Oryzias latipes: one gene and its partner. The protein of the gene in region 1 interacts with the protein of each later gene in a pairwise test. Links are inferred from orthologs where the notes say so. Each region holds a gene or a part of one and is shown on either strand. Other genes may lie near its edges.

Region 1 (5,391 bases):
GGGATGCAATACTTTGAACAACATTTCGATTCATATCATAGTTTGTGGTTGCTGATCCGATACTTAGTCAATATTGATTCCTTTTGAAGGATCCGGTTAGATCCGATTCACTGACCTAAAATTGATCCAGGACATCTTAAGCCAAAAATTCAACCAGTGAGACTTAGAAATAAATACCCGGTACTGAACAGAGCAGGTGAATTTTTCCACATTTCTTGTATTTCTTGCAAGATAATAAAGTGTCAATTAAATATGTGAACAAACAAACAAGTAAGCAAAAATTTATGCCAAATCTATTCACATTTTAATTTCATAAAGTTCAGTCCAATGTTGCTTTTCCACAATAAAAATAATACAAACGGAAGATTATTAGAACATTCTACTGTATGGTCAACAAAATTCAAAGTGTTTCCATAAATTGGACTGTAATGATGGTTTGATCATTTTTTGCTGCCATTACACACGTTTTGTCCGCTGTGATGGCACTTGGTCGTTTTTACGTCATAGTAAAATTAACCTACCATGTCTCAATCCAAATGGTATTTTCCAATATCAAGAATTCATTTATGTAATTTTAAAAAGATTTTTAACTGTATAGGTCAATTTGATTTGATTCAATGAACTTGCCTCTGACAGATCAATCTGGTTGGATCCTAGGAACAGAAATTGATTAATCGATTAATTGATTAATCGTTACATCCCTAGTCCTGAAGGTGATGGGAAATGTTTGCACTGAAATAAAGTAAGTCAGATTGACAAAGCTGGAACATGAAGCTACATCATGACGGCACAAACCGGCAAACAGGAGCACCATCAGCACATAGGATATGTGAAATGTCCATCAGCTCCATCAGAAATGTTCCCTTCTTTTATCCATCTATCCATCTTCAGGGTCACGGGGTTGCTACTGCCAACTCAGCAACTATTGTGTACACCCAGAACAGCTTGCTAGTCTGTTGGAGGGCCACACACTCACACACTCAGATGCAAACCTAGGGACCTTGGGGAAATTTAGAGTCACCAAATAATCTTTTAAAGCAGGATTTTTGGCTGTGGGAAGAAGACAGAGTGCCATAAGAAAACATGGAAACTCCACAAAGAAAGGTCCCAGCCAGGATTCAAACTAGGGCCTTCTCTCTGGGAAATATTATTTTCTCTTCTTTTATTGTTATCGTATTTTAATAATTGCAATAAAAATTGTAATTTAAAACAAAAACTAACACCAGCAACCATTTGGTCAATGACTGAATGTTTTTGGATCAGTAACATCCAGGTGCACATTAGGGGTCAATCTGCTCTCCTTAATACCTGCTCAGACCCATCCCAAATCATTCCATACATGATAACCTTTCACTCATAAAAAAAGCCCCATCACAACACATTATTTCACACATTATTTCACTGTGGTAATCAAGTCAAGTCTGACTGACACAAATACAACAATAGGCTTTATTGAATCTACATTCTCAGTATATGCTGTCAATTGGAATCCTAAAAACTATTGCTTTTAATACACGCTTAACAAAATATAATATGGTTGGAAAACTCTGTTTTTTTTATGTAAATGTCTGCAGGACATCAGTGTGTGTAAAAAATGTTATTGATTTCTTAAAATAGGCCCAAATTTTATAGAGTTCTTCAGATTTTACATTACTACAGAACAAAAAATTTCTTCCCAGTAGAAAATCTATGTTTGCCATATGAGCAAAATGTGTGTGTTTAGTTGTGTGAGTCTGCTTCAATGATGAGTTAAACTATTTGAAAAAAAACACCTTAAATGGGAAAAGCTCTGTCTCTGAATCTCTTTTCGTGTTGGTTACATATTTATGACAAAATTCTGCTACAAAAAAGTTGAAAACAGAAATAGAAAAGGCAAAATTAAGTTTTAAGACTCAGATTGATGCTAGGCAAACTTTATTAAACAGTTCCCTGATCACTTAAAACTTTTCTGATCAGAGAGAGCTGTTTTTTTGGGCTCACGAAAGCTTCAGACATGACCCCTTATTAAGTTGTTGCTGCATGCATTATATGAATCTTTGGGTTTGGGAAATTACATGGTTATTATAAATAAAAATTTGTAAAAAATTAGAGCAAGAGGAGTAGGTCATGACATTATTTTTGTTTTAGTAAAAATATCAAACCTTCCAGCAGAACACAAAAAACACGTGTTGGTGCGATCATCATCAGCGGAACTATAAAATGATGTCGTGTTTCCTCCCTACAGCTTTAAGAGACGAACAAAAACACCAGTCCCGTTGGTGCTCACGCCTTTAGGGTCCGTCTTAAAGTTAGTTTTTGTGTGTTTTGCACGTTTGATGCTTTGAGGTTTGAAGCAGCCAAAATTTGCAGGAAGGAAAGAAACGACATACTCAAGTAAATGAGGTTAGTTAACGAGTTTAGTTAACGGAGTTAGTTAACTGCGAGGCTGGCTGTCACAGCACCACGGTGTTATGTGCACGCGTGTTTAGCAGCAGGGCGTTGCTGTTTGGTAAGAAATCAGGTAATTGTCTTGGTATGTGACCCGAGAAGGCTGGGTTACATTAAGCCTAAATTAAAGATGAAGATGGAAGCTCGGTGATGCCATTTAAATCCGTATTGCTCTGTGGTCAGAGAACCAGTCACACATTTGAGTGTTACACTGTAGTTTTTATAATTATCACAACAAAATGTGATACTTGTAAAAATTAAAGGAAAAGTAAAAATTGGAAAGACATTTAACGTGGAAGATGCTGCGTTTTTTTTAAAAGTTGAAATAGTGAACATAAGGAGGGAGGGAGGGAGGGGGGGATGAACATATAAAAATCTTCAAATAAACATATTTTAGTGACGTCACACCCCCTTATTTAAGTAATTAAAAGAAGAAGAATAAGCATATTTGCCATAAAATGTGTTATGACTTTATTAACATACACACTAATTCCATAATACAGTTCACAGACAGCAGTAAGTAGTAAGACGTTCAATCCTCTTCACTCACTCTGTATCCTTAGATTTTTTAATTATTTATAGTGAGGAATGTTTTTGTTTCATAGAGACGTTTTACAAATACTTTTATTACTATATGTAAGCAAAGAAAACAAAATATCATGTTTTTTCACTTTGCTTTTCATTTAAACAAATGAGATGCTTTGTGAAAGGCCAGAAAGTTCTGTGTAGCTAAAATGATTCTACCTGGAAATGAATGGGCCAGTTTCAATATCTCAATAATTCCGCAGATCAAACTGATCAGATGGTCTGCTCCACAACTCTTCCTGTGCTCAGTAATATTGAGGACTTTTCTTCATTTTTCTCTTTACTTTCCTTTAATCCCTGTGTGTTTTTCTGAAGTCATGCTGCTCGTAGATCCAGGAGTGTACATCGGCACTGCAGCTGACCTGAACGACTGCCAGGCGCTCGCTGCAGCTTCGGTCACCCACATCCTGTCTGTGGAATCTGTGGATCCTGGTCCACAGATTCCTGCCACAGGAAACTTCATCAGAAAGTGGATCAATGCTTTAGATGAAGAGACGACTGATCTGCTCAGTTACTTGGACGCCTGCAACATATTCATTGATGAGGCTGTAAAAGGGGGCGGAGCTACACTGGTTCACTGGTAAGAGTCAAATATGGCTTCATTATTCCTTTCTGTGTTTTCCACGCATTCCATCCTTGAATTTATGCAACCATGTGCAATCTGAATCCATTTTGGTGCATGATGACACGACATATAAAAGCACAAAATGCAGAAGGACAACGCTTATTTAAAAACTATTTTTTGTGCACATTAGTCATGCAGGTCGAAGCCGCAGCGCCACCATTGTGACTGCATATTTAATGAAGAAACACCATCTGGCCTTCCCTGAAGCTTACCAAAGACTGAAAAGTGTCAAACAAGATGTTCAGTAAGTATTTGTCATTCCCTTCTCTCCCAGTATGTCTTCTGTTTGTGTTAAGGGTATTTCAAAATTGGCTAGGTCAGTTTGTCAGCATTGTAGGTAAGCAATTGGCTGTGAAAAAAAAGTTTTTCATGTTTCTGTCAATATATTTTTGGAAATTACAGTTAAAAAAAATTCTAAAAGTGCTTCTAGTGGGCTGCTCATTAATAAAAATATTAATTAAACCTATATCAAATGTGGGGGTTCATAAACTCAGCTTTTTTTTTGCTATTAAAGAAAGCTTAACTTCTGTTGAATACATCTTCTGTCACTTTATCACAACAAATGTCAGCAAAAAAAAAGAAAAAGATTTTAGAAGGAGCATGTAGAGAGGAAATCTTTGTCCCATCTGTCTCTTGATTGGCTATGACATATTTTCCTTTGTGGCTGATTTGCCTCCAACATCTACTTTTCAGAAAACTGAAGACTTGAACTGCATTTTCACCAGAAGTGAACATTGAAAAAAGACTGAAGCTTTTATTTAGAAACATAACAGACGTTGAAAGTCAATGTACATGAAAAAAATCAGTTGTTATAAACCTGATAAAGGAATATAGAAGTAAAGCAGGGTAAAAGATTTTATGGGGACTATTTCCATGATTTTTTTTTATCATTTCAGAAAAACAAGTTTAAAAAAATCTTAATAAGTGCATTGTCATGTATACACCAGCAAAAGGTAAAACTGTATTTAAAACAAGAGCTTAAAAGATAACATTTGTTTTTTTTTTGGGTGTGTTTCAGGGTCAACAGGGGTTTTGAAGAGCAGCTGCAGCTGTATGAGTCCATGCTATGTCAGGTGGACACATCTAGTGCTTTGTACAAACAATACAGGCTGAACAAGATTGCAGAGAGATATCCAGGTGAAAGCAAAGCTTTGCTGCTGTGGATGAACACCAGGAGGGAATTCCTTTCCCAACTTTTGTTTCTTATTATTTGTGTATAAGCAGAGTTGCAGCAAGTCCCAAGAGATATTTTTGCTAATGACCCCGCCCACTCCAGCTCCTCCGAGGTGTCATACAGATGCCGGAAGTGCAGGTGAATTGCTTAGAAATATTAGATATGGTAATTAGTGGCTAAATTTTCTTTAGCATAAAAATCTTATTTTTTTATGCTAAAGAGTTTTAAGGCTTTCTTTATTATCGGAGCTCAACAACTAGACTTTCCTTTTAAACTGTTTTAATTTGTTTTAAAGTTTTTGCTCTGTTTTCTGACATCCCGATAAGCTAATGTGTCGATAATTACCCCAAATATTTTAGGTAAAAAAAGCAACAAAGCAGGTACGACAGTGAACTTCTGGGCTAACTTCCTGGTCTTCTTTCTCAGACGAACTCTGTTCCGTGGCTCCAGCATTCTCAGTCATCCCGTAGGCGATGGAGCTTCAGCCTTCAGTCATAAGAAGACCAGCAACCTCTCTGGTAAAGCTGCGTACACAATGGGCATTTGATGAAGACGCATTCTAATTTGAGAATTTAGCCCA
Region 2 (5,322 bases), on another chromosome or scaffold:
CGACTCTCGCAGACCGGACGTGTTTGTGCCGAGCACCTGAGCTCTCAGGAAGAGCAAAGAAAAAAAAAAAAGAAGAAACTACGGAGCGGTACGGTCTGCTTTTCAGTGGTTACATGTCACTGCAGGCCGGTGAGGTCCGATCCACACATCCCGACAGGAAAAGCGGTGTCCATGAGAGTCAGTGAGGCTAACTAAACTAACGCGAAGGCGCTGTGTGACTGTGTCGGTCGGTACAAAAATAGCCGAACCTTCCCTTTTCCCGCAAACCGAGTTCGGATTAAACAGAACCGATATAGGGTCACTGGTAGGAGTTTGGCAGAGAGAAGGTAAATCCCCGGAAGGCTGAAACACCCGCAGTCTGTTCTGTTTCTCCCATCTCCTGCGGACTAAAGTGAAGCAGTTCGGACTGTTTTAGGTGGGACCAAAATGGCTACTGAGCGGCTGGGCTGGATTAGGATGCGTTCACGGACCCATTGCACCGTCAGACATAACTAAACCGTGAATCTCCGAAGGGTTAAAAAACACCAATTCAGCACGATTTCCCACTACAAGTGGCATTTTTCTGTGAAAATACGGAATACATATAATCAGCACACAAAGTAAAATATATGCATTTTAACTGTTGTCAGTGGTGTATTTGTTTTTTCGCCCTTCAAAATAATCATTAATTTAATTAGAAAAACGTTGCAGTTGAACTAATTTGATGAGAAAAATGGTTTACAAAAATGTGAAAACGTTTTTTAACTTGAATGCAATCTCTGCGCTCCTGACGGTACTTGAAGGCACCACGTCCATGTTTTACTGAGCGGGCAGAGAAAACTTACTGACCTCGGTCCCACTGGACCGGTGAGCCCGACCAGAACCTCGGCGGGCCGAGAGGAAACTGCCTCGTGACTCACTTCAAAAGGGGTGTGGATGACGCACACGAAGGTAAAGCCCGCGTGAAAACACCAGCTTCCTGTCCCTAGCATCTGACAATCCCAAGGCGTTTCTCTATGCGAACCCAGAGTCTAGGTTGATCCAAAACTGAGCGTTTCAGAACCGATGTTCTGTTTTCCCTGCATTAACTAATACATACAGCACCGTTTACATCAAGTCATCCTTTAGAAAAGACAACAGTGTGGTGGATAGCAAAACATTTTTATTGACTGGAAAAATACAACAAGCACCTCCCTTTCCCCAAAACAAAGGAGAAAACAAAGATGCAAATCAAAATGATCCCCATAACACTTGTGATTAACCCCCGAGCAATTTCATTTAGTCAACTGAGTACATGTCAGGATTACAGTTACTGTGCAGCAGGAAAAGCGCTACAGAAATCATGCCACAAAGCAGAAGGGAGTCTGGGAAATGTAGTAAAGGAGCAAAAGGCAAACTATTCCATACGTCATACAGAGCGTTATGAGTCACAGCATCAGCATACACATCCGTCTTAGATTGCATCGATGTCAATGTCATCCTCCTCCTTCTCGGGTGTTTCTGGTTTGACCGTCTCCACCTTCAGCTCACGAGCGGAGGACGAATACACCACCTGAAGACGCAAAACAGCAGATTTAAGGAACGTCACCTTTACTACGATGGACGCCCACCGACGTCTCCACCTGAGGAGACCAAGTGTTAACCCTCCAACAGGTAAACAAGTACCTTTAGGTTCACAAGACCGAAATGCTGAACTAAATCGCAAGAAGTTACCCCGGTCTGGACCCCAGACCCCAGACTGCCATCACACTAAGTTCAGCCTTGAGCTCTAAAGAGATGTTGCATTTCCGATCTTGAAGACCCTCTCTGATGAAAATAGTGATTTGGGTGTTTTTAATGCAGTCTTTTTCTCACGATAGAGGACATAATAAAGAAAAAGAACATTCTACTAACTGCATTTCTGAGTATTTCATGATCCAAATAGATGTGAATATGGAGCCAGCGCTCTAAAGTGCAACTGGATTTTTCAATGGTCCGTCTTAAAAATCCATGGTCGTACCGGTGCGCCCAAAAAAAAATAAAAATAAATAAATAATAATCTCTGCAACTCTGACAGTCTTATTCCTGTTTGTGTGCAGCAGTAACCCACCTCAAATATGACTGTTTTTGTTTATGGGAACATTCGAGTACATCCGAGTCGGTCAGTTTGGGTCCGTGTGCAGCACCCAATAGATGTGAGTGGGTCTTTAAACAGCTACTTTCCATGTAATTTATTATTCTTGTAGAGTTTGGTTTAAATAAAGGATTTCAGGAGAAGCCTGAAGGCTGATAGTGACAGCGAGGAAAAAGGACAGTGATCCTGTCTTTGTTTTCCTGGTCTGAGCTGGAATCTGGATCAGAACTGGACGGCTGGATACATCTGATGTTAATGCTCAACTCTTTGATATTGAAACGACCGACTCCTGAGCTAAAACTCAGCTTTCTTAAAACTGCATTCATTTCATGCACGTTTTCAACTCCACCCATTGGCATCGTCTGCTTTTAAACTGTACCTCCACATTTTCGTCATCTTCCTCCTCCTCTTCTTCGCTCCCCTCGCTCTCCTCTTCTGCCTCCTTCAACCATTTCACAAAAGGAGCGGCCTTGGCGTGAATTTCTTTGGCAAGTTCCTTGGAGACATATTTCTTGGAAACCTGGTGCAAGAGATTAGTAAAATTAACTAAAATCTGCAAACATTGTTCCCTTCATTAAAGTCTTTGAACCAAACATGAAGTTATAGTAAGACACCCACCCAAGATGGGAAGAAATGAAAGAAAAAGCCAATTTAATCTAGAAAAATTTTTGGTTTGGGTAAAAGACTATCATAGTTAATTATTTACAGTTTTATTTACAATAATAAAAGCATTCATTCATTCATTCTGTGGATGAAGAGCTCCGACCTTCTCTGCCCAGGACAGGATGACGTCCTCTTCCAGCAGGTCAGCGTCGTACAGGTCTTTCAGGATGACGGCAACACGTGGGAGCAGCTGGACCTGATGCAGCTTCACCACACACTCAAAGCCCCCCATCAGGTACTTCTGGGCTTTTTTGTTGTTATGGCAGAACTGGGGAAAGATTGATCAAACCGTGAGAGAGGAGAGGGGCAAAGAGTCTGTACCAACATCTTAAAGCTAGCATGATCAGCCTGAAGTAGTCAGATTCCACCATCCGTACTGGACGTCTGTAGAGGGCTGCTCAGAGACTCACTCTTAGGAAGTGGCGTTTGTACTTCTTGATCTGGTCGCGGATGTTTTCGTCAAACAACAGCTCACTGAGGATGAGGGGGCCCATGGCCTTCACATCCAGACGCTCCGCTTCAGCCAAGATCTCCTTGTCGGCCGCGTCGATGGTTCCACTCTCCTTCTTTTGCTAAAGGAAGATATCACAGTTTTCTACATTACTGCTCTATTTGAAGTTTTCTATCAAACATTTTCAGCTCCTTCAACCTGTCAGAGAGCTGCAGATCAGACTGGAATGTCTGCACTGAGATACCCTCCCCTCCAGTACCGGGTTATCACGATTACACATGTGAAGGAGGATTTAGATCCTATTGATTTAAAATAGGATTTTACTCCAACTAACAGTCCGAACAGACTCACTTTCACAAAGCTGTAGAACAGGTTGACCCTCTCCTCCAAGGGTTTCTCCAGGTCGTCGCTCAGTGTCAGGTTCTTGGCGTGGTCGCTGATCTCCTCCATACGACGCCTCTGTGCCTCCTCTGTAGTCTCCTCTGCCCAGTCTTCGTCGTCGTCATCCCGATCCTCAACGACCGAAGGACAAATCAGAACAGGAAATGGGATTTGAGGGGCGGAAAAAGCTCTCAGGAAAACTGTAACCTTTACATTTCAAAACCAAGAGTCCGACGCAACATGACAAGCAGTGACTGCGAGCATCACGAAGGATGCATGAGACGGGGAGGTTGACAACCGTTAAACAACCGGAGGGTCAGGGAGGAGAAAACCTTCCTGACTCCTTAATGAGGTTCTAGCTGGACTGAAGGACGTTCGCTCCACAGAGACAAAGAACGTGTGAAACGCTGAGGAACACTCCTCACTTTACGAGAAATGTTCACAGATGGATCAGGAATCACCTCAAAACCACAGAAGTAGGAATAAACCATGCAAAGAACACAGAAATGATACAGAACACGAACCGTGTGATTACTGTGCTGTTTATCTGCAATTCAATAGGGATTTGTGCGTCAATTACATAACTAGAACGTTATACGTGCACCATATCCGTGATATAAAACTTATATGTCGGACCATGAAAAGTCTGTTAGACATATGTGGAATGGTCGTGGAAAGACACTCAATCACACACACAATTGTTTAAAATGTGTGTCATAATTGTGTATAAACTATGTTAAATATGCGGAAACTGTAATTCTCAACCGATCAAAGGTTTAAAAAAAACTCAAAACCAAATTCATGTGAAGAACCGTCGACCCAAACCCTCGACGGACATCTGTGCACACCGACAAACGCAAGAAACTCTTATGAATAACGTACATCGCACATGTATCGTGAAACACAGACATTACATACATTTTAAATGTATGTAATGTCTGTGTGACACGGTGTTCTGGGTTCTTGGGAGTTTGCATAACTGTTCCAGCCCGGTTGGAAGGAGGTCAGACTTGTTCCCAGTGGGTTCTGAATAGAGTCGATGTCTAAAATCCCAGGCCTGAATCTACAGCCCGTATGAAGTCAAGTGATCCAACCTTCTTTCCCAACAAGAAACCCAGTCATTTTCTAGCAGCATCATCTGGAATGGTTTTCTTTTAGGATTGAGATGCTGTAGTAAAGGCGGCGTTTCCCTGCTGGCTTCATGTAAAATATCCCAGCTTCAGTCTGAAGCAGCATACACACCACAGCTTCAGGAGCATTAAAGCTGTCCTGGGTTCCCGCCTCGCCACTGCCGGAGCCGTTCTCCTTGTCCTTTTTGCGGTTCTTCTTCTCCTTCTCTTTCTTAGCAGATGCAGATCCACTGTCGGTGCTCTCTGTCATTTGAAAAAGAGTCATTACAGACAATCTGGATTTTTGTTTTTGTGTTAAGGACATTTCCTCTGAATGCTTTAGTCAGTCACGGACTTCCCCTTTGGGGAAAAGTCTCACCTGGTGGATTTTTGAGGATGAAGGTGCAGAGTTTGTGTCGAGTGTCTAGCATGCCGCGGTACCCACAGGCCTTACAGGAAGTGCCGATGGTTTGCTTCTTGGGATTGACATGCTGTTAAAATAAAAAGACAAACTCAAAATTAATCCTGAAAAGACGAACCTTCACAGCTGATACTAGTTAACTAAATATTTCAGGACTATTTTCTGAGAGTTTCACACTAAGCTGTTAGTTTGATTTCTGAAAAAC

What was found. The genes of interacting proteins can lie anywhere in the genome.
Region 2: the proteins of dusp12 (region 1) and eif5 interact in binary tests that used the Homo sapiens proteins (3 or more experiments, as listed by UniProt). The two-hybrid records come from large-scale screens. The link is inferred for Oryzias latipes from reciprocal best matches to the Homo sapiens genes DUSP12 and EIF5.

What each region holds. Positions count from the first base shown.
Region 1 is NC_019875.2:21,142,470-21,147,860, forward strand, and holds the start of dusp12 (dual specificity protein phosphatase 12), read left to right. Parts: upstream 1-2,222; 5' UTR 2,223-2,382; intron 2,383-2,442; exon of another isoform or gene 2,443-2,500; intron 2,501-3,327; 5' UTR 3,328-3,329; coding exon 3,330-3,592; intron 3,593-3,767; coding exon 3,768-3,881; intron 3,882-4,655; coding exon 4,656-4,774; intron 4,775-4,861; coding exon 4,862-4,949; intron 4,950-5,237; coding exon 5,238-5,329; intron 5,330-5,391. UniProt on the Homo sapiens protein: Dual specificity phosphatase; can dephosphorylate both phosphotyrosine and phosphoserine or phosphothreonine residues. Can dephosphorylate glucokinase (in vitro).
Region 2 is NC_019880.2:21,352,009-21,357,330, forward strand, and holds the end of eif5 (eukaryotic translation initiation factor 5), read right to left. Parts: intron 5,188-5,322; coding exon 5,076-5,187; intron 4,961-5,075; coding exon 4,830-4,960; intron 3,720-4,829; coding exon 3,558-3,719; intron 3,328-3,557; coding exon 3,166-3,327; intron 3,024-3,165; coding exon 2,859-3,023; intron 2,613-2,858; coding exon 2,472-2,612; intron 1,532-2,471; coding exon 1,433-1,531; 3' UTR 1,122-1,432; downstream 1-1,121.